Styela clava: one gene and its partner. The main gene of each other region encodes a partner of the protein of the gene in region 2 in a complex. Links are inferred from orthologs where the notes say so. Each region holds a gene or a part of one and is shown on either strand. Other genes may lie near its edges. The genes, in order: mitochondrial fission 1 protein-like and B-cell receptor-associated protein 31-like.

Evidence for each region.
Region 1: the proteins of B-cell receptor-associated protein 31-like (region 2) and mitochondrial fission 1 protein-like are in contact, whole or in part, in a crystal structure (PDB 8XWX), measured with the Homo sapiens proteins. The link is inferred for Styela clava from reciprocal best matches to the Homo sapiens genes BCAP31 and FIS1. Residues at the interface, in NP_001132913.1 of Homo sapiens: Asp224, Leu227, Glu228, Ala231, Lys232, Ala235; in NP_057152.2 of Homo sapiens: Arg52, Val56, Glu59, Glu60, Pro63, Lys64, Lys89.

The regions. Positions count from the first base shown.
Region 1 is NC_135253.1:11,885,047-11,896,229, forward strand, and holds mitochondrial fission 1 protein-like, read right to left. Parts: upstream 2,200-11,183; 5' UTR 2,070-2,199; coding exon 2,059-2,069; intron 1,295-2,058; coding exon 787-1,294; 3' UTR 501-786; downstream 1-500. Other genes in the region: cytoplasmic phosphatidylinositol transfer protein 1-like, read left to right, coding at 3,299-3,346, 3,913-4,061, 8,149-8,234, 9,303-9,310, 10,115-10,210. UniProt on the Homo sapiens protein: Involved in the fragmentation of the mitochondrial network and its perinuclear clustering. Plays a minor role in the recruitment and association of the fission mediator dynamin-related protein 1 (DNM1L) to the mitochondrial surface and mitochondrial fission.
Region 2 is NC_135258.1:14,495,621-14,507,832, reverse strand, and holds B-cell receptor-associated protein 31-like, read right to left. Parts: upstream 4,748-12,212; 5' UTR 4,605-4,747; coding exon 4,513-4,604; intron 3,711-4,512; coding exon 3,610-3,710; intron 3,166-3,609; coding exon 3,015-3,165; intron 2,648-3,014; coding exon 2,545-2,647; intron 2,465-2,544; coding exon 2,350-2,464; intron 1,551-2,349; coding exon 1,411-1,550; 3' UTR 815-1,410; downstream 1-814. Other genes in the region: tRNA (guanine-N(7)-)-methyltransferase-like, read right to left, coding at 5,430-6,164; uncharacterized protein LOC144427174, read right to left, coding at 8,217-8,334, 8,610-8,741, 9,201-9,296, 9,378-9,438, 9,944-9,989, 10,513-10,667, 10,789-10,861, 11,267-11,316 and 2 more. UniProt on the Homo sapiens protein: Functions as a chaperone protein. Is one of the most abundant endoplasmic reticulum (ER) proteins.

The DNA of each region.
Region 1 (11,183 bases), on a different chromosome or scaffold from region 2:
ATTCCTGTTAAACGCTCACAAAAGCCTATACTACTATGTTATATGATTGATGATTTGATGCCTGGTGCTTTGATATTGAGCGAATTTCCATCCAGTGACGAATTCTCTGACTATATAAAGAATGTCGAAACGGCCTTCATTAGTTTGAATTAATTCCAATTTTGTATTGTTATTATAATAATAATGGTCAGTGTGAAGCGATCGTCGCTTAATTTTCCATTAAACAATAGACAATTTTATTAACTTGTTGTTTGTATTGTATGGGTATGCTGTTGGAGGCAAAGAGTAAGGCTTGGTAGCTGGGGTCAAACTTGATACCAAAATAGATGGAGTAGAATTTTTAGTGGCTGAAACTTGATTCAAACTGGCCCTGGTTATAATAAGGTTCAGATAACAAGACTGTGTGATTTTTGTAGTCCTGATAGGTCAAATAGTGCCCTGCATGGCTTCTACCACTGATCTGTGATGTTGAAACTATTAAAAAAACACAAAATCAGCCGAGCAGGATTTCCATAATTTTTACACAAAACTGTACATATAGATTTGATGAATAATAGTTTGCAATAGATTAGGTTAAACATACAATACTTTAATTGCTTCTCACTATTTGTATTTTGTGAGGCAAGATTCTGGTTAGTGAAACAAAAAATACATACTTTTGTGGACCATACCTAGTCATTGTATATTTAAATGGCCACAGTGCGATACAGCAACAATTCATAAGCTTACAAATGTATGTCATAATAAGATCTGAAGAAATTAAATCATTAACAGTCACAAAACACATTATTTCGACCTTGATGCAAGAGCAGCGGCCAAAACACCTAAAGCAGCTACACCCACTCCAACAACAAGACCCGCACCACCTACAATAGCCATTCCAGCCATAGCTTCTTTCTTTTCTGTTTTCTTTATCAATTCTTCAAGTTGTTTTGCTTGGTGATTCTGTGGTTCAACATGTAATATGGCTTTACAGAACTTGAGAGCTTGCTCATAGTTTTTTAGCTTGTAATGTGCAATAGAAATGTAAAATATATAATCCCTTTTAGCGTGATTATCTCCAGTATGATAAAGTTCTTCCAATAATACAACTCCCTTTTTCCAGTCATTTTTATATTGACTACGTACAAGACACCAGGCGTATTCAAACTGAGTTGTTGCTTCTACTTTTCCAATGGCTTCTTCTTTTTTGTATTTTCTTTCAAATTTCATAATATCTTGTGTTGCGATAACTTCATTAATTATCTCTTCCATGGTTGTTGGAAGCTTTGTTTTAAATCTATTACGGTATGTTCTAAAACAAATAAATAAACAAGACAATTTAAAAAACATCAGTCAAACAGAGACAGGAGTAATAGGTCACAAAATACAGGTTTGTTAGAATGTTTTACAACATTATATATATACTATGCAATTCGAGAGTCCTGCTGTACACTAACACAAATGTGTTTCTGCAACGTTTCTTTTGACCAGAATCTGACTTCCTCAGACAAGCAGTTTACAACAACGACGAGAAAAGAACAATCATGCGGTTTAAATAAAGGAGGGATTGGAAGTTAGTCTCTCGCAACCTCTACTGATAACTATATATATACTTAGGTACAACCACCGATTATTTTCTACTTAGTGCAGATCTTGAAAAATATTGAATTATTCAACAAGTAGGCCTATTAAATGACTCCGAAACATTATTATTGAAGTTTCAAATGAAAATTGAATATATGGTCATATTTGAACTGATTTTTAGCTATATTTAAAAAGGGTCAGTTTCATGACTTTGGGTTATAGAAGAAGCCAATATGATTGAATAACTTCAACATGAAACACTACTATCAGATTTTTTCTATTCAAGCCTTATTTTATTTTCGGCACACTTGAAGCATAGTTCAATTACCAATCTAAGTAACAATACCGCCATATCATGCCAACCTATAATGACATCAAAATACTACGTAGTATTCAGATATGTCTATTGTGGGTTTTTTGTTTTTTTGTTATAATTTTTACTTCCCTGTCGAAAATTCCCCTATATTTATTATTAGATACAAATAGGTATACCTTGTTTTCATCGCTTTGGTGTCAACAAAACTGCCAATAAAATCTATCCAAAATTTCTTTCTGATTTGACACACGGATTCCAGAACTCATTTATCCTAATTTCTTCATACCTCCCTATCGAAAGTTAGTAGTCTTTTGACTAAAAATTAGACAAACTCCAATAAATGAATAAACGAGAAACGGTGCGTGGCTCGAGAGTCACAGGCAAACTATCGTCTGGGGAAACCCCGATCCTCACGTGATGTCACGTGTGGGTGATCTTGGGTTCTGTGCAAATTTGGTTTTATTATTTTGACTCGACAACTGACCAGTGGTTGAGTGTTTATATCTGTCAATTATTCAACTATCAGATCCTATCTGGAAGTACATTGTGGTTGGCTTTGTTTAAATTTTCACCAAACCTATTTACTTGATATTTGTGTGAATGAATATGACATTCATATTATATCATTATTTATCGAAATTCGTTCATTGTGGAAAATGTATTTTTACTAGTTGCAAATCCGGTTCAATTCAAGCTCTTTGAATTCATAGAAAACAAGTCTCAGTATTAGCTGATGTGCGCCAATTTGATTTGCAGGTTTTGTGGCATGAGCAAAAAACGAATTGTTTCGGTCTGGTAATTGCCATTTAATCTCTTATCGTGTAGTATACCAATGAGCTGAGTATACTAAATTTAATACACTGTTGTAAAGCTAGCATGATCTGTGTCAAAAATGAAACAAAAAAGAATTTATACTCATCTGATACTGCATAATTGGGTACTGTTGGTGTAAAAATTATTTTTATATGCAATTTGCGAGTAAGGATCAGGCGGACACAGGTAAGTGGTTTGATAAAAAAAAGTGAGTACTGATCCGCTTCAATCTACAATATTATATTACACTACTAAAAACGTCCTAATAAATTTGCTGTGAAGCAATGAATGATATTAAAAATTACTCAAGGCTGTCATAAACAACAACGGAAGGGGGCGCTAGGTAGTAAGTTCGTTCGGAGGGTTTATATTCTCTCGTATTTATTTTCGTCTGAACGTCACGTTTTAATATTTTTTCTCACGCTATTGTAGCTTCTCTCGTTATTGATAAACTTGCGAATGTTGACCTCGGATTTTCATTCGAGTGCACAACTACGATCTGACGATTGCAGCGGATTATTTCAACAGATTGGTGAAGCTTTCTTATAGCAGTATAGCAATAGTTTTATTTGTCGATAACGAACGTATGGTACATGTGGGGTCATGTTATTGAAGGAGTATCGAATATGCATGCCGTTGACCACGGAAGAGGTGAGAAAGCAAACAATTGGCTTTTTTGTGTTTTTTCTTAGTTTTTGTTTGCATCAAGTGTAGACTATGTTCATTTTTGTGAAAAATAAACTGCTAGCTGACTGACTCATTTATTCATTATGAAGCTGAAAGCATATTACTGTATTTTTTATGTAATATTCAGACAGTGCGTCACACTATACAGATCGAGCGACATTGCCTCGTTCCAGGGAAACACATTTTACCTATGATCGGACACCCCTCTTTTTGGGAGGTAAAAATACAGTATAATGAAGTTGCGCAAAATACTACAAAGAAGCGCGATCTAAAAACGTCATCATTGAATTCCTCGGGAAAAAATAATCCGATTTACCAAGGGAAATTTTTACTTTTACGATTACTAGCCTACTTTAGATTATTATTGAGACAAGCATGGCGCGATATGACTCATCTGCCGTCATGTCGGACACTCCTCGTTTGTGAGACACATGGAGTGTTTGTTTCATTGAACCAAATGGAGGGAAAATAGTGTGCCGTACTGTCAGACATCAGTTCCAAAATGTTTTGATCTTTTTCATTATCTGCAGTACCAACGTGGTCAACAATATATGATAAATCGGCATAGTGATGAACAAAGTGAAGCTGGTGAAGGAGTAGAAGTAGTTTGCAATGAGCCACACTATGACGAGGTTTATGGACATGGAAAATATACTGAAAAGAGGATTCATTTAAATTCGTAAGAATTTTTTTTCATAAATTTTTTCAATGCATTATGTATCATCATATATTGAGTGGAAGTGGTGACTCCTCTGCGGCCCATGGGCCGGGGCCACGGCCCATCAGGCTATGGGCCGCGGCCCATCAAGTTGTGTAAAAGGACTATTCACTTGGCTAACACAGACAGTCCCCGAACTCATATTAGAACTATAATGTAAAAAATCTGAATTTTTTTTGTCCTAACCCTAACCTGGTACACATACTACAGGAGTATATTTTTTTGTTCGAATATTGACAGTTTTGTAAAAATTGAAAATTTTGGTAAGATAATTGAAATTTTCCTGATGGGACCGCGGCCCATAGCTTGATGGGCCACGGCCCATGTGGCCCAATTAGATGGGCCGTGGCCCCGACCCATGGGCCGTAGAGGAGTCACCACTCCTGTAGCATATATTTCCCCTTCTACTTGAAAATCAGATTAGACCCCTACTCGAAATTTAGTTCATTTTCTATATTAGCACTAAATTTTGAACATTGAATACAGAAATACCTGATGTCTTTTAAAGTATCTTTACAAAGAAAAAAAAGTTGTAGGAAATAGTGTGGGTTTGAAATTTAATAAAATGAGGTAAGAGAATCATGATGCAAGGATGTTAGAAACATACTGGTTTATTCAAGAGATAACCTGATTTCAATTCGCATATGCAGAAGTAAATTTCATGCGGAAACTGGGGTCTAGTTTAGTTTCGTATCTCAATTACTTCTAGTGGGCGTAGCAAAACAATTTTTTGCATATGTCCATTCTAACCCCACTTTACCGCGTCATCCAAAAGTTAGGTCACTACAACATCACATTGACATAATAAGGCCCTTAATACTATACGAACTGTTATCAAAGACGCGTAAGCAATCACCTGTTTTGCCATCACAACGATCCCAATATGTGAGAGATCACTGCCATTAGTGAATTCTTTATCGTCGGCGCAAATGCCATTTCAGGCGATCGTAGGTATACTTTGGCAACTTCTATGACACGATTGTGACATAATTTTTAAATGTCGTAGTCAGCGGTTATACTATGCCCACTAGGAGAACTTGAGGTAAAAAACTACACGAGACCCACTAACTGTACTACTGTAGTAATTCTGATTTTTAATAAAAAGGTTTATTTCCATTCATCCAACAGTTTTTTGTAAATGGAAAAAGTTTATTTGCATTGACTTGTGATGTAGCATTGATTTTTACTTTGTATTCAGCATTTTTCAAATGTGCTACGCAGGGGTTCTCCTTTTTGTGTTGCGAAGCCCTTGAAAAAGTTGACTAATATTCACGGAGCCCCAAAGTATATGTTAAAATTGTTATTTTCCAAATAATATTCCTGAGTAAGTTAAAAGTACTGTACTTGTTTTAAATGCTTAACCTCTTTTAATAGGGTTAAAACAGGTCATAAATAAATCTAAATGTAAAAGGTAAATTATATATACTAAAGCTGTAAATTTGACACTTGACAAACATATTAATAAATTAGGGGTCGGATCTTTTCCCTTTAAACATTTTTGATAGACTTAAAAGGCCGCTAATAATGTACTCGATTGCATTTTGTTACGATCGCCGATTGTTTTCGTCAGCATGGCGGTGTTTATTCTCCCTAAATCAAAAATTTCCCTCGACATATACATATATTGTTCCACAATGACGACGAGTATTGTTTTTTTGTTCTCGTGGGGACTTATGCGTTCAATGTGAAAAACATGTTACCGTACTATAGTCATCGGACACGAAATGCTAAAAATAATAAATAATAAAAAAGTAAATCTGCAACTCAAATTTCTCGATTGAAAAGCGGCATTCTAAAATATTAAAACTAAAGCTTAAAATGGGAGATAACACTATAAGTTTTGTTTCAGCAGACTCATGTCAGATTAAAAACGCTTTCATAGACATTGTAAATCAAAAATTTGGTGTCATGTTGGGTTTTCTTTGGTTATTCGCGGTAGTAACTGCGAAACCGAAACACAGTCAATTGTGCGCGCGATGTACCTATTTTTCCATTATGAAACTACTGACAGAGTCGCATGCAATGAAATAAATTTCAATTTTTCGTATTTTGCACCGACCTCTTGTTTTTTTTAACGGCGATATCTTGCTCGTGAGTGCAAAAGAACGAAATCAAACTTGACAAATCTCAAGATGGCAAAAATACGACTGCAATTTATGTATAGTTGACAGTTTATCGTGTATTTTATGTTATTTCAGAATAGTATTCTTTCATTTTAGTAATCCTAATAGTAAAATTAGCCAATTCAGTATTTTAAAAAGTAATCGAATAGCTCGCGGAGCCCCTGGGTTTCTCTCGCGGAGCCCTGGGGCTCCATACGGAGCACTTTGAGAACCTATGTGCTAAGGTATAGAATAGTTGAATCAATTATTTAAATTTGTATTCAGGCTTAATTTAGCCATAGGAAATTGAACAGATTGAGATCACTTCTTTGTCTGTCTGATAAAAGGGATTTAGCTGAATAAGTGGCATAATTAAAAGCACAAAAGCCTGTTCTTTGGTTTTTAGTTTTTGTTTCTTTAATTGCTGCAAGGCAGATTTGTATTCTATAATGCAATTATGCCTAATTAAGGCTTAGTTTTCAGTTGAATTTATAGCATTTTGCTATTGTTTTCTTTCTTTTTTGCTGAGTTTTAATTAGGGAAATCCTTAATCTGCATTAATTTTATTTCATTTTTTTTAAATGGAATAAACCAGATTTGTTTTGAAACAAAACTATGGTATACTTGTGCCAAATTTCAAAAATGATCATAAATAAACATTTTAAATAAAAACTATTTTATAAGTAAATTTTTGTCTAAAGTTTCAAAATGTCAAAATATGTAGTAATTTCGGCCTATCATTGCGGTAAATCTAGGCCTTGTGAGTTGCCAAATGTTGTTGACTAAGTAATCCACATCAATAGTTTCCATTAATTCTGTATTAGGTATATTAGCTTTGGCAGTCTGTATCGAAAATTACTAAATAATTAATGATATTTTAATGCATAGAATGTTACAATGTATGCCTGACCAATCCATTTGTGGAAAGCAACGATATTGAAACGTTTGCTATTTTCGTAACTTTGCTTATGCAATAGATATTTCATTACTATTTCCTGTTTTATTCTTCCAAATTTTTTTATTTGAAATTAAAAATAAAGCAATAAAAAACTCGTTTTTATCGTATTTTTTCTTGAATCAATCTTCTGGATCGATCCATTTTAGCTATGTCTCTTCTATGTATGTGCTCGAATGACAATGACTGTGCAGAACTATTTTTGGCATGACTTTTTGAAAGTTTTCTTTTGTGGAACAAAAATACTTCAGAGCTCTCAGCTCTCTAATTTAATTTCCAACGATCAAGAAAATGCATAATCTATCGAATGCTATCTATCACTTGTTGTAAATTTTCTGCTCAAATGTAAAATCCTCACTCAATCATTAAATCCCCCAAGAGGTCAAAAACAATTTGGATTAGTCTGTAGTTATTGCATTGAAATCAAATGTCACAAGATTTTTAGTTCAAATTCAAGATTATTGCAATCTATTACATGTATCATGATCCTGATACTCGAATTATTGTTTTTTATGAAACTCTTTGTTTTTATGTCTCATGTTATAAACCTCAGTTGAATTTCTGTCCTGTGTGTTGTAATTTTTGTATGATCGCAAAATATGAATTAAATTATTTTATCTTTTATCTTTTGAAGTTTGTACCAGGTTAGGGTTAGGGTATAATTTCAGGTACAAATTCCTTTGGGAGTCGCTTGGCTAGTCCCCGAACTCGTAAGTCGTAATAGAACTAAAATAAGGAAAATTTGATTAAAATTATGACCTAATCCTAACATACTACGTTCCGGTGTCCTCCATCGGTTTACATACTTCGGGAATACCTTTAATAAAGTATCAGAAGACCTCCTTATTTGCATATTAACATCAATAATCACTATTGACAAAATCCTGGGATTTCGAACTAGACATTACACTACTTATTCCAAGAATGATGTGCACTTAATTTTTTATAAGCACAGCCGCGATCAATTCTAAAAATATTATTATAATTTTAGACGCCTTCCTTCCTGGGCGCGAGCTGTCACGCCCTCAATATATGTCACAGAAAAAGCATGGAATTATTATCCCTACACTGTCACAGGTATGCAAATTCTTTCCAGTATCATGTATTTTGATCGTCAATTTATTTCAATCAAACTAATATAATACTTGAATTAGGTTTATAAATTTATATTATCTATTTTATAAGAGAACCTCATCTTGTCACCCAAACGAACTTGAAATTGCGGAATTATATGACCTCGATTGAAAAAATCTTGTGAACTAGCATATATTCAAGTGCTGCAACAGCATCAACCATTTAATAATTAATCTGATGTCAAAAATAACTAAAGTGAAAGTATATACTGTTTGTTTGTCTATTAAATTTAAACTTTGTACTTATTTACTGTTAAGGAAAAATGTTTGCGCGTACACACTTAAATAATCCTAGCATTTGTGTTTGTTGTTTTCACCAGCATAGCCCTTTCAGTAAACTCAATAGTTAGGAGTTATATATACATTGGCATGTTTTCATAACAAATTGAATAAAATCGGTGTGAAATGTAATAAACTAGCTTGCAATTAGGCTACCTAAATCACAGTAGGAGATGCTGTTCCAGGAAATGTAACATCTGTTTTTCATGCTTGAAAAATAATTTGAAATCTCAGAATAAAATGACAATGCCTGAAACTCATTTCCATGAACTACTCAGCATTCCAACGGACAAATTTTTTTTCTAAAATTAGCAAGCATTAGTGCTGGAAGCGATTGGATGACTGATGTTAACAATTCCGATGGGAATTATATATTCGCACCATACCTGTTAAAAGCCAATAATAATAGAGCTGATAGACATTGAAGTAATGAGATTACCACCACCAATAATTCCTTTGAGAATTAAATGAGGTTCATTTGTACAGATAAATGCTTTTATGAAATATGCCAATTTTACTTCATAGTAGGCTATATATAAAATAGCCATTAATCATACATAGTCTATAACAAATTTGTCTGCTTGCATGTTTTATGTTTTTTAGTTTCCTCAATCATTTTGAAATTTAAAGCTGTTGATATTTTTTCAACATTTCTCCTTGTTAATAAATTTATTAATATTAAATGTTATTGAAATTTTGTTTTTCCTTTTCATGACCATGCTGATGAAAACAGAATATTCAGTAAGTAACATTTTATATATTTAAAAAAAATTTATTGCCTTGAAACTACATTTTCAATTTTTATATGACTGCTCATAAAGCGTAAAGGTAAAACTAAGATTTATTATATGTGGTTCTGCTAATACTGATATATTTTATTAGATGAAATTGGAAATGATGAAAGATTTTGATTTTCAAATATCAAGACATTCGTCACGGATCATTTATGATTAGTTACACTTTTTTCGGTCTGCTGAATTTACATTTAGAGAGTGTGGTTGGCTCAAATTCAATTCTTTGGCAGAAATATATTATTTAATGATCTGTGTTTCATGTTACATAAGCATTGACCTTCAACATAAAAATGTTATTTATCACCATCAACTAAAAAAAATTCACAACTTACAAATTTGTATTATGAAAACAATTTCAAGCATAAATTATCAAGCTTTTTCAAAAACATGTAATTTTATTCTATATTATGTTATTATCCACTTTCTATAATCAAATAGGTCAATAGGGTGAAAAAGTCTAATTAGGGTCAAAATATCTAATTAGGGTCGAAATTAATAATCATCTATCATATTTATAAATTTTTATAGGGTATATAAATTCAGTTGCTTCAACTTTAATTCAATGTGTCATACCTGGGTAAATTTCAATTATCTCATTGTGGCCTAATTACATGTATAAAAACAATCTTACATACTTGACGACAGTTAAGTCGTCAAGTATGTTTATATTATAGAGTATAGAGTAAAAATTATATTTAGGTATGTAATAATGGTTATGTAAACTGATCGCTATCCACTTTTGCTATTTTAGTGCCATTTTCTCCCAAGACTAACTGTATTTATTGAGACACGATACGAAGATAACAATGGAAAATCTGCCTCAAGTAATTCAGCAAAATTTTATAAGGTAATGGAAATTTTCCTATCAATTGGGTTTCTATGGGGTGAACGTTTTATACCTCTATGCTTTTGGTTGATCCTTATGCATGTAATGCAAGGAAGTCGTAGCACTGCATGCTAAAACAAATACATTTCTGTTATGTTTCAACTTTGAATTATGTATGCCAGAACAAGTCCGACCTTTGTCAGATGAAAAATGTTACAGGAATATATTTGTATCTGTGTGAAGCAATACTCCTGAACCCTTTTAATGGTAACTGGTCATTGCATTTTCATTCTTGATTTAAACATTCAAATTATTTTCCCCATTAATCTGTTTAGTCCCTGTCAGTAAGCCTATAAGACGAATGCCTTATACTGTCCTGACATTTATTAACGTCACAGAAACTTCAGTTTCCAAACTGCGACTACCTTTGACGTACGTATTATTTGTTATGTGGAATTTTTTGGGTATTTTGACTTTTCTCGTTTTTACGTCAATTTTAAACTCAGATCATGATACTAATGAATTTGTTGTTGTTTTGTTGCGCTATTTTTCCATTAATCCGAAAATGTCAGCATATCTATGTTTTGTTTACGATAAATTAAAGCTTAGTTAATCCGACATGAGTGGAAAGAAATGTAATCCATCCTAGACTATTCCTAAACTTTCCACATATTTTATTTTGACTTACTAATATAGATTTTTCAATTATCATAGTGGTTGTCGTAAAGCCAAATTAAAAAAATTTTATGATTGTAATTGCTTTATAAGAATTGATAATAAAAATGTATTGTTTTTAAAAATGGTGTTTCATTTAAAAATTTATAACACAAACAGATAAGTTTTTGAATCTATTATTTACATTCAGTTAACACTGAAGACAATTAAAAATCTAAGTGATATGTCTTACTATTCATAGCCTTAAATAAACATAATTTTCCCATTATTTTGTGCATCAATAAAGCTTAAAGTCAGGAACAAAGCAATCTAGACACAG
Region 2 (12,212 bases):
CTGGCACATAGCTTCACTTCTTTATGATAGTGTTAATGAAACATGCGGTAAATAACTTCTGATGCCATTGACCATACTCTACTCTTTTTTTTCATATTTCTGTCAAAAAATATATAATAAAACTTCAATACTCCATATTTGGTGTGCCTATGCGGCTTGCGTAGGTATTACAATGCAGTTGTTAAGTAGCATACAATATTACCAAAAAATATTCCAATTGTGTGATTATATAACTTTATCAGTAATATGTCCCTTGTCCTGCAGGAGTTATGTGGTTGGAATAATTGGTTATATCCGATGTAGCTATGGTTAGATCTTGATTTTCGGGGTTATTGTAGTGTAAGGTATTAAATGTTGAGCATTTGTTATTCAACTTCTGTTACTATGAAGTCAATATTTGTTTCGAATAGCAACCTAGTGATTATCAAATTATTAGGTATAACCATCCATGATGACACTGCTGGTCCAAACCCATCTCCGCAGCGTAATTAATTGGGTCGGCTGCACCGAAACTGGAAGATTCTTCCAAACCATATTACATAGTTAGTGCTCGTTTCTGCAATGACCATGAACCATTTCAGAATTTTTACTCGAATTGGATTTACATATTTATCCGGGGGGAAAGCATATGGGGTATTTCTCTCCTCTAGTACATGTTGCTATGGGGTTTGTTCGCCAGTTATTCGTTTCAGATGACTTGACAACGGCTGGCGAGGGGTCCAGCAATCCTCTTGCACACAATTAGCCCCACAGGATCCCATTCCCCTCAACGTAAATTTAAATACTAACAAACGATTCAGCACCACAAAAAATGTCGCAAATTTACTTCATATAATATAGTGAAGGCAGTTCTTTTATTCAGCTTATGTACATCAATGAACAATATAGATACTACATTAAATCCCACAGACAATGATATATATCAGTTTCAGGCTATTATAAACATTAGCTCATTCACGTAAAATCAGAAGATATTATGAACATAATACACATGCATGCAAGTTACTCAAAAGCACAACATCAGCAAATAGCTATTTATAACAGCAATATATGAGCAAGATATTATAATGAAGTGCACTACAGCTCATATGCAGACTGTAAAGTGAAAACTTCTCCATATGAATATTTGGTTAGAATGATATAATAGCGAATGTCCATGGATGACCAATGAAACATTCTGAAAAACTTTTGTAGATAATATGTTGGGATTCACACCAATTTATATCCTTTTTTTTTTTCAGTAGATACCCATATAAGAGTCTCATATTTTTTTCTCCACAGTATGATATACAATTTATTATATACTAAAATGTCCTTAATTCTTAAGTAAGTTTTCTGATTGCATCAGAGCAAGCAATATTGAATCAGAAAGTACCGCAAAATCATGCATTGGTAAGCTTGCAAATCACTTCATTCATCTTTTTTATCTCCACTGCCTTCAACTTGATTCTGCAGTTCAGTGAACTTCTCCATTAGATTGTCATACTCTCTCGTAACACCTTCAGCTTGTTGTTTCATTGCATTCAAGTCATTCTGTGCTTTCGTTTCAGCTAAATACAAAAGTACCAGAAAATTATTATGGTATATGTAGGTTAATAAACATCAACACACTTTTTATCAGTGGCAAAAGGAACTATTAACATGGTAAGATAAGAGAAAAATAGATTGAGAACAACGCAATCTTTTGAAAAGATGCTGCATCGACTAGGTCAGGGTGGTCCAAACCTAGGCCCACACCTTCATTATCTCTGGCCCGCGTCGAATTCGATGAGTAATTAAAAAATCGCATTTGGTGTTGTTTCGTCATAAAATTAACGAGAAAAATCTTTTGACATATTATTGTTACATCACTAATGTCACTGAATTGACTAGTGGTATGGCTAACTGCGGCAAGTTGAATGATGTGCTTGGCAGCCCAAATTCTTATCTGGCTTTTTATCTTTTTGGTCGAAAATATATGCTAACAATTTTGGCATCATAGAAAACTAAAAATCGAATGTGGATTCTATCGGCTTATGTTGGCTATGCCTGATAACTAATTATTAATGTTATGGCCAAACAACTCTGTGGTTTTTGATCTTGATAAATAACATACTTATCAATGTGTTTTCACAATAAAAGTGTTTATTCTGTGTTGCACTGTTTACCTATTCTTGGCACTATTGTGGTCCACGAACAATGCCAAATTAATTTTGTGGCCACTGGAGCCGACAACATTGCACCGCCCTGGACTAGGTAATGGGTGAGCGAATTGTCACAATTTTGTAATGACACCCCAAATTTTTTTTTACAATTATTGAAAAGTATTGACTTTAATTATTGAGATTGTGCAATTTAGTAAAATCAAACCTTTTCTAGCATCAGATAATTTTTCTTTCACTTCATCAAGTTCCTTCTTTAGCTCTTCTACATCTACCGCATCAACATCACTGCCATCTTTGTTTTCCTTGGATTTCAGCAACGCCTGTAAACAAATAACGCATACAAATTTAAACATTCTCTTTACCTTGTGGACGCAAATATATTGATATCTAAAGTGTTTACCTCTGCAGCTTTGCTTGCGCTTTCAGCTTGCTTTTTAATTGCTTCGTTACTTGCTATAAGTGTAGCAGAGTCAGAAATTAATGTAGTGAGACGACGAAGAACCCTTGAAAGAATATAAGTGAAATATAACAACTAGATTCAACTTAGTGAATTAGGTAGTCAGTGAGTTTTAGGTTACACTCATTTGGGTGAGCTTAGATGGTGTGATAGCCTAGCGCGGCTTTCCCAAACTGTGTTTCGCGAGCGTCTTCCCAGTGTTCCATGGAAAAAGAAATCTAAATTGGTCGCCATAGCGATCTAGGGATCATGAAGTTGAATTATCAAGTACATAAATTATGAAATTTCTCTAACATAAACATAGAAAATCAATGCATTTTACTTTGTCGAAATAATATCATAAATTTTTTTATGGACGGTCACAGTACCTTGTAAATTGTCAAAAACATACCAAATAGGAATAGGTTACTTACACCAGCATGAACAAAGCAAAACCAGTGATGTACAAATTTCTCTGAGCTCTGAATAGCATCATCAACACATGATCCTGTGCATTAGGATTATTTTTGAGATCCACTTGTTGAGCATTTGGAATAGAGTACTTTCGCACTTCACGTATAGCATCTACAAAATTATTCAACGTTTTGTAGGTTACAAAAGTATCAATCAAAGTTGCATTGATTTGAACCAATATATTACAGAATATATACATCTGATATTACAAAACTAGGTCCACTTGTCAACCAATGGTTTTTTTTCTAGGAATTGTTAATTTGAGCAAAATAACTTGCTTATTTTTGTTAGAGGTCATTTTTTTTGATCACATTGAAATAGATTGTTTTTAAGAGAATCAATCTTTTAATAAGTTGTGAATATCTTGCATTTTCCTTGATATAGTGCCATTATTTCGAGATTTTTGATTGAACTGAATATTAAAAAATAGCTTCAAAATATACAGTTTATAGATATACCCAAGCAACTTTTGTTGTTATATAGATGTAATGAATATCTAGATATATTGATATCAGTATGTTCAATATTACAATAACAGATCATTATTAACCATACCTGCAAAAAGTAACACCAATACCGCAATGAACACTCCAAAATACAGGTTACCATATGTCACAAAAAATGCTAGCAGACGAGATTTGAAAACATACTGCCATCTGCAAAAATATAGCAAAATGATAAAAGTGGAGCATTAAAATAAAATGGTTGACATTATCAATTCAGTGTAACAGAATTAAGTGTCCATTTTAATTTACAAGCTAGTGTAAATATTCAAAATATGAGTAAAACATATTCCATGTTTGCAAAACGTAACATTTGATCAGCATATTACACAGACAGTCTTGACAACTGACATTGACATACATCCTAATCATTTGAATCAATGAAAGTTTACTGGGCCAAGAAATTGACTGTTCAATTAAAAATACTCAAGTGTCGTGATTTGTGGTTTTTTACATACCCATTTTGAATAACAGAATGACTATAAAGAAATCACTCCTATAATGATAATCATTTGGACTAATGGCATTGTAACATGCAGTAAAACCAAAGAAGCTTATGTCACATACTTCAGAAATGGACGTTTTTAAATTTATATCGATATGAACCAGGTGGGAGGAGTCATCATTGGGTCCGGTTTTAGTCTTGTTTTCAGGTGGTGCCTTATTTTGGGGTTAGATTTTAAAACCTCATAGACTTTTTTGATTTTTTGGGTTAGGTTTTTCTCAAAATCTTAAAATGGCTAGGTCCACTGCAGCAATACAGTTGTTATTAAATATGCTCAATCCATTGCAAATAATTGCCATTAAAAAGTGATTGACAAAATATAGTTTGCAGATACGAAATATAGGATTAAGATTAAGTCGCGAATCTAGATACCGCAAGTCCCAAGCTCAATGCATACAACTGTCTAGAACTAGAAATGATACTGTAAAAATGAATCATAAGAAATCTTACCTCTTTGGTTGAATAAATGGTAGACATAATAACACACACAATCCTATTTCAGAGTATAAGAAAAACGACACAACTAACCATTGAAACGTCATATTGGTGAATAAACAATTTTATAAATATATATCTAAAACTATCTATGAGTTATACAGTTACTTCCTGGAAAATAAGCGAATTGGATAATAGAAACAAAAATTTGAGTGAAGTAATCTTAAAGCATGTAACACGTGGTGAAATATATTGGTATTATACCCATACCACCACTCAATTTCAGGAAAAGGCACAATGGTTGGAATGTTTGAAATGCTTTATCAATCTAAATAAAAATCCTTTGTTAATGTAGGTTGATCCTTAAATTGCAAACAAAGCAATTCTTATACCACACAACTAAATCAAATGCTGAGTATGGAAGAATGATATGGTAGATGGAACATGCTTATTTGGCATGTATTTATTCCCATTCTGTACTGTCACTTTGTTAATTAAAACATGCTGTACAGTTAGTAAGCAAGTCAACTTAAATCCTATTAATGGATATCATTAATTGTTCATGGAACTACATCTTGATCCTTGTAATTGGATTGCTACTTTTCCCAAAATGTACACCACCATAAAATGATGTTAAGAAACGTGTTTTACATGCAAATTATAGCCCTCACATTGCGAAAAATTGAAAAATTTACTATTCCCTAGTATATCAGAATGGATGGACAAAAAGTTGCCATGCCAAATAGAGGACAACTTGAAACTGAGGGGAAACCTAGAGATTTTCTTTAAGCAAATCCCAAAATATCTTCGATTTCTAACCTTGAATTTGTGCCTACAAATCGTTACACACGACTATTCAAAAATGGAATTTGATTAAAAACAGTAATGGAATAAAAAAAATTGGCAGCACAAATGATGTAGTAACAACAAGATCAGCTCTTGTTAGAAATTCTGACAAAAACTGCTGGGAATTTATCTCCTGAATTTCTTTCAACTTTTTGTCCTTCTTCTGTCGAGTTGAAAGTTGCCTTGTAACATTCATCATTTTGCAATTTTTCTTCGCCAACTCTTTCAAACAGTGGATGTTGGGTGAAGTGTTGAACCATCCAATCGTGAACCTCTTCAACATCAGTTATTGTGTAAACTTTACCTCCAACATCGAGAACATAGGCATATTCTGCTAACAATGTAGGACTAATTATTCTCCATTTATGCTTTTGTTTCTTGAAATGTGGGTCAGGAAAAAGAAAAAACATTTTTCGAATTTGACCCTTTGAAAAAAAATTTGGCAAATGTTTCATCGCATTGGTACGAATACATGCTATGTTTTGGAAATCTTTAGATCCTTTATCGATCGATGTTTTTCGAAGAGCTTTTATTCTGTCTTGGACATAATCTGAAACTTTAACACGTATTTCCATTCCAAGCATTAAAGTATTTGGTAATAAAGGGGATAGTTTGATCAGCAGCCCACCGTATCCACATCCAATATCTACCACTTCAACCTTATACTTGTTATTTTCATTGGCTTCATTGCAATACTCTGGGTAAATACTCGACCAATCCATGTCTTGCGGTCTAACCGGGTATTGAAAATTATGGTCCCCAAGTGGATTGGAGTGAGCTCTCTGACGATAATACTTTTTTCGTGGCAGCTTTGTATCCATAGTCCAAAAAGATGTACGAATCGTTCTACATCAAACTATATACTTACCGTAATGGTATTTGCTAGAATAAAAACAATTTTTCATTTGTTTCAGTATTAAACCTGTTTATTTTCTATAAATTTTATAGAAGTTGTCAATACTTTAATAAAGCAGTACTGGAACAGGAATATACCGATAAGTAAATGTAATTTAAACGCATATAATTTTAATTCCATGCAATACAAAATAATCTTATGATATTGTGATGATATATACTACAATTGCACTATGCCATACAAATAATGTAGAGTATTATTTATTAGGAAAACTGTCAGATTGATGGTTTTCTACTGTGTAATTCAAAGTTGGGTATACTTCGGAGAGACAGAATTTTTGATTCGGCAAACGAAAAAACACGATAATAAAGGAATAAGGACTCGAAAGTCCAATTTTACATAAGCACACAAGAACTAGGGAGAAAGAAATGGCCAAGCATTTTATATGGAACTACATTCAGACATTGCACCTCTCTTTTGCCACAGCACTCAGGTGGGCTTTTATTCAAACCAAACTGTTCAATGACCTTAATAATTTATTACTATTTCCCGATTTCTGACACTGTTTTCTTCACCTAAGACTGTGAGACACTACAGCACTAATTTGCACTTGTTCATCTCAATCAAGTTATTGGTTTCCTTTAAATGCAGAAATGTCAGGATGTGGGTGGTGTAAACAAATCCCAGACGATAAACACAGCCCAATCATATTCAATTTGATGTATACAATTTTAAATTGGAATCCACCATGTCTGCAGTGTACACCTGTACACTGGAACATATATATTTTGGAACCATAGAGGTCTTGCCGGCTCTCCCAGTTCACTGTTTTGTTCTGTGTGTGCTTTTTTCGGGGAAATCAAAATAAAACGCACAACTCAACACAAATTTTTTCTGATTGCGATATTAACATTTTCCTTCAGCTACACTTTGTTTCAGCCTCTTGCTTGTTCACAGGTAAATAAAGAAATTATCACGAACTGCGAGAAACAACAACCGGCTTTTGATAAAGCAATATCGCCTGGCCCAGTTTAGAAGCTGCTTTCCAAAGATACGGTTTTATAATACTATCATATACCCATACCCAACGAAGGACACGTTGATTTGTTCGGCGGGTCATGTGAATAATTTGCTGGCCATCATATACATATTCTTTGATGTCAATTTAATTGATGTCAAGCGAATTATTTGAAATGATGACAAAACATCACAAGACAAATAGGTACATACCTACCTATATCCTTATACGCACCGCGTTTGTGGCATAACCATAATAAAACTGCGCACTGTGAGCACCATAAGAAAACAAACCAGCATGGATCTGTACCGAACGGGTGCAAAGTGTAAACAACTTTTTACACGCCGACAGCTAAAAGAAGTGACGTGAAATACTCCAACAAAATTTGGGAAACGTTTATAACGTACAAAATTTTATCGAAAAAAGTTTCCAAACCAAGTGGCATAAACACTTCTAGAAATGTGAAACTGCTCAATGCTTTTCCGGTAGCGGCAACTTCGAGATCGATTTTTACTGGTTGGAAAAGATTAAAGTTCGTCCTTGGCTCTATTTTTACGTAAAACAGTCCCGAACTACGAGGCGTGTCACAGATGCAGCGCTACCCGCAACATTAAGAATAGGAAGGTATTTGCGCGAACTTACATAAATTGACGTAAAAGAATAACTAATTCAGAATGCAGTACAACCCCTTCTTCTGGAAAAGAACACAAATTCTCAGAAATATTCGAAATTTTAATGAACTAAAACAAAAACCACATAAACAAGCTTTATAATAATGAATTGTACCCCAAGTGACATGTTGAATTTATTTTAATTCAATACTGGTTGATGCTCAACAGTTGTCAGCATACCTTTCATACTCTCCCTTGTCAGCAGATCATACCCACTCATGATTGGTGTGCAATGAATCTGTCAGAAAATCGGCAATCACATTCTAATAACAGAACTCGAATCTTATTAGGCCTCAAGATATTATGACTACATGCACTATTCATTCGATCAAGGCAAGATATTATTTCCTGCATATGCTACTTGAATAAGTTCTTCTCTATATTCAAGTGAGAGATTTTCCTCTATTAGAGCATTTAATGTCTTCTTTTTTGTCAAGTGTTGTCGCCTAAAAATGAACGCATTCATTATGACTACTGTGTAAGCGAAACAACAGTTCCAAAAGTTCAAAGAAGCATGCATCATTTATAGAATATATGATGAAATTCAGAGGATTTATTCCGAAGTATGAACCTGATTTTAGGAATTTTTTGTTCATATGTTTAAAAGAAGAAATGTTTTAATTTCACTAGATTCAACAAACGCCAGTTTCATCTCGGAAACTTGTATTCTAGAGACTTTGCAGAAAATGCTTCGAAAATAATTATTATTTCAGGAACAGACCTTTTCATAAGTCTTACAACATCTTCAGATGAAATTATTTTCTTATTTTTCCTATGACAGATTTCTTCCAAGTCATTCATAGTATTCTCAAAATATTGCCGAGAAACATCTTCTATTTCCTCAAATGCTTCCCTGAAGTAAAATTAAGTAGATGCCTCAAACACGTTCGACAGCCTTATTGAAAGAACTCAAAAAAGTTTCTTTAACTTTAAATTGTTATCTTAGTCATCAAATGTAAGTTTACAAGTAATTTGACGCCAGAAACATATTTATTTAGAAAATTGGACATGAACATCCAATAGCAAACTCCAGTAGCAGTAACCTATGCAACTCATGCAGAAATATGGCTGATCACAAAATTGGCAAATTTAAAAAGGAGTACAGCCATGAAAAATAGTGTTAATATGAATTAAAATGAAACAGAGAAATATTGGATATCATAGAACTCTGATATCAATTGGTCCATTAGTTCAAGAAAAGCAATTTTTTCGCTCCAAAAAAGTCACCCTAACAACAACGCTTCAGCAAAAAGACCCATATGGCCATTTTGTGTCCTATAAAGAATTGCATGAAAGAATAAAACATATATACTTAGAAATCTTCAAAGTGGAGTAGTGTTGTACAATCCCAGCAAGCTGTGATCTGGGGAATGGAAGTTTGTTGAGTAGTTTTCGCTTTTTTGCATTCCTAAAAATGAATATTACCATTTAAAATTACTGTAGATTTAATTAAAATATTAAAAATAAAACAAACATATAATTTTCATACTTCTTTTCACGAGATATCAGCTTGTGTGATGTTACTCCAACTGATGCCTCTTTGCTTGTATCTTGATATAAATAGGTTAAAGCATAAAAGTAATAGTTTTGGAGAAGCCAGTTCAAATTTTGATATGACCTTCAACCAGTGTTTCCCAGAACATAACTGTTCCGCTGGACTGGGACCGAAATCGTGACCAAATTGGTCATCATGGCGATTTCGGCAGTACTTCGTCGCCTCTGGGTCATAAATTTGTCTCTCAACTCTCACCGATAACGTTTATTATCGTTAACCCTCGGCCTAATTTCTTATCTGTCAAGTTTACAGAAATCTTTACCATGGGCTAAATTTTTTGAAAACCAATAAATTTTACCTTCTAATTTCTCGGTGTTCCGCAAGGCTAGCTAAAAGCAGTACTAGGTGTTTCAGGGCAAAAAAAAATTTGAGAAACGCTGCTTTAAACCATTAAATCATATATTATTGACTTTTAAGTTAGGGAAAAGTTTATTGTAAGTTTTTGCGAATTCACAACTGTAATTATATTTTCCAGTTTATGTATATTACGTAACAAATACCTGCATTTTGTTCATTTTCAATGACCACTGGAACAGTTTGGTGATGCTGAAAAGTAAATGATATACTAGCAATAGACAAAGATGAAATTGACTAGTTCCAACCAATTTGGAAGTCATCATGGAATAAATTCACATAAAATATTTATGAGGTGGGTAGACATGTAAAGGTTCAACCACAAGGCACAAGACAAAATTCATAAGTTGACAGTTTTTATTGGTTCCAAACACATGTCACAAAATAGCTTGGTTGGACACTTTTATACATCTTTGCTGAATGATATTAAAGAAAATAAGAAGATAAAGATAGGCACATGAGAAGTTTTAGTCAATACGTTTAGGACAAATGACCATAAAGATATGAAAGAACAAATTTCATTGTAAGGTTTGAAGCATTTTCCGTACAACTGTGGATGAATCTTGTGATTATGGGTAGTTCCATCATTTTTACTAGAATAAACACAGAAAAAACTAAAAGCCCGTAACGAGCACAAGCAAGTTTGCAATCCACTGAAGCACCTAATTCCATGCAGCCCACAGAGCTATTGTGTAAGCAACAGTAAAACACATACCACACTTTGACGCCTGCGAAGATTTGATGTTGAAGATGTATCCACAGGCTTCTCATCAGTAATAATATCATTAGGTGCATGGTCATTCGGAAAGCGTTGATTTTTGAAAGCTGAACCATTGCTATGTGGACTGGGCACTTGTGATGTATCCGTTTCTGGGGGAAAAAAACACAAATTTTTTTATTTTTCATTGGGTAAAATTTGCACTAGAGATCAGACTGATCTGAATACAGAAGAGTCAAATATATATTATTATAGAATACAAAGTCTTCGTACCATTAAAGATTCTGCTCAATTCTAAGGGTCCTTCAATCTCATTATCTGAATTTTCTATTGTTGAAGTAACAATCTACAAAAGAAGATATATGATCTTTTATATTTACATGAAGCAAATCCGTCAAATAAGAGTGGAAATAAAAATATGGTATGGCCAGAATTATTGTAACAATCAAGAAGACAAAGAACTGGCAGACAAGGCTGGCGAAACCAGAAAATAAATTTTTTAACACCATTCGCTTAGGTCCAGGCAGCATTGCAAAATCATTACAAGCTTGAGCGATATTTAGTATTTGAATAGATTCTGGACAATATGAACCACTGTGTTGTGCAACGAAAAAAATTTCCATGTAATTGTTTTGATACATATACAATATACATATATATGATAAAAGATGGGTAAAGAGTTAGTGCAACATATGTGTCCACAAAAATAAAAATCATATGCTGGTACACATTATAAATATAAATTTATAACCTCTTTATCAGGTAAAATATGATCATCTGGTGTTCCTTCATTTGGATTCTCTGAAAAAAAAAATAAAATTCGAGTGACACACTGACTGATAATGTGTGTATATATATATATCAAATTCAAAATTTTGAATTCACAAGCATTACATACAAGACACGAACACACTTGTCATCATCGTACTAATAACTCATGTTACGAATTCCATATTAGATAATTTTTTTGGCAGGATTTCTCGCCTTCGCGGGGCGTGTTGGAATCGCAGGTTAAGCATTTCTGATTCGAATCTCAAGCCCACCCCGTCACCCAGAGTGAAATAAAACCCAGTCCTTCCACATATATCGTGGCTATTTGTACAGAGTCTTGTTCAGAGCTAACAACAACAAAAAAAGTGTTTTTTAAAACAAAAAAGGATGTTGTACAAAACTACTTTTTATTTCTCACCTATTACTGTGGTGTGTGATGAAAAATGTGATGGAAATTTCTCTTCTTCTTTTTCAGATTTTACATGATTTGTGGGTATAATACTCTCATTTAAAAAATATGTGTCAGTCGTTGCATCCTTACGAGCTGGCTCGAAGAAACTAGAGCATAAAATAGAAAACAAAAAAATGATAAATATATACATAGAGTTCATAAAGTCATAAAATGTTTTAAAGTGCAAAGAGAATTTATTAATACTATATATTATAGTTTATTGGACCCCACAGGTGTGTTAAATATAATAAAAAAAAATTATATAAACACTGATTATAAACAAAACAAACCTGGTTAGAGAGAGTTAATCACAGCAAATTGAAAATTGTAACAGGACTTCATTAAAACCACCTTATTAACATCGTTGAAGAGTAAACCAGAAATCTTGTAGTGCTTTACCTCGTTATACGTGTTGAGCTTAGCAAAGGAGTAGAATATATATTTTGTTTTTTATTAGAAACAGATTTTGAAACAT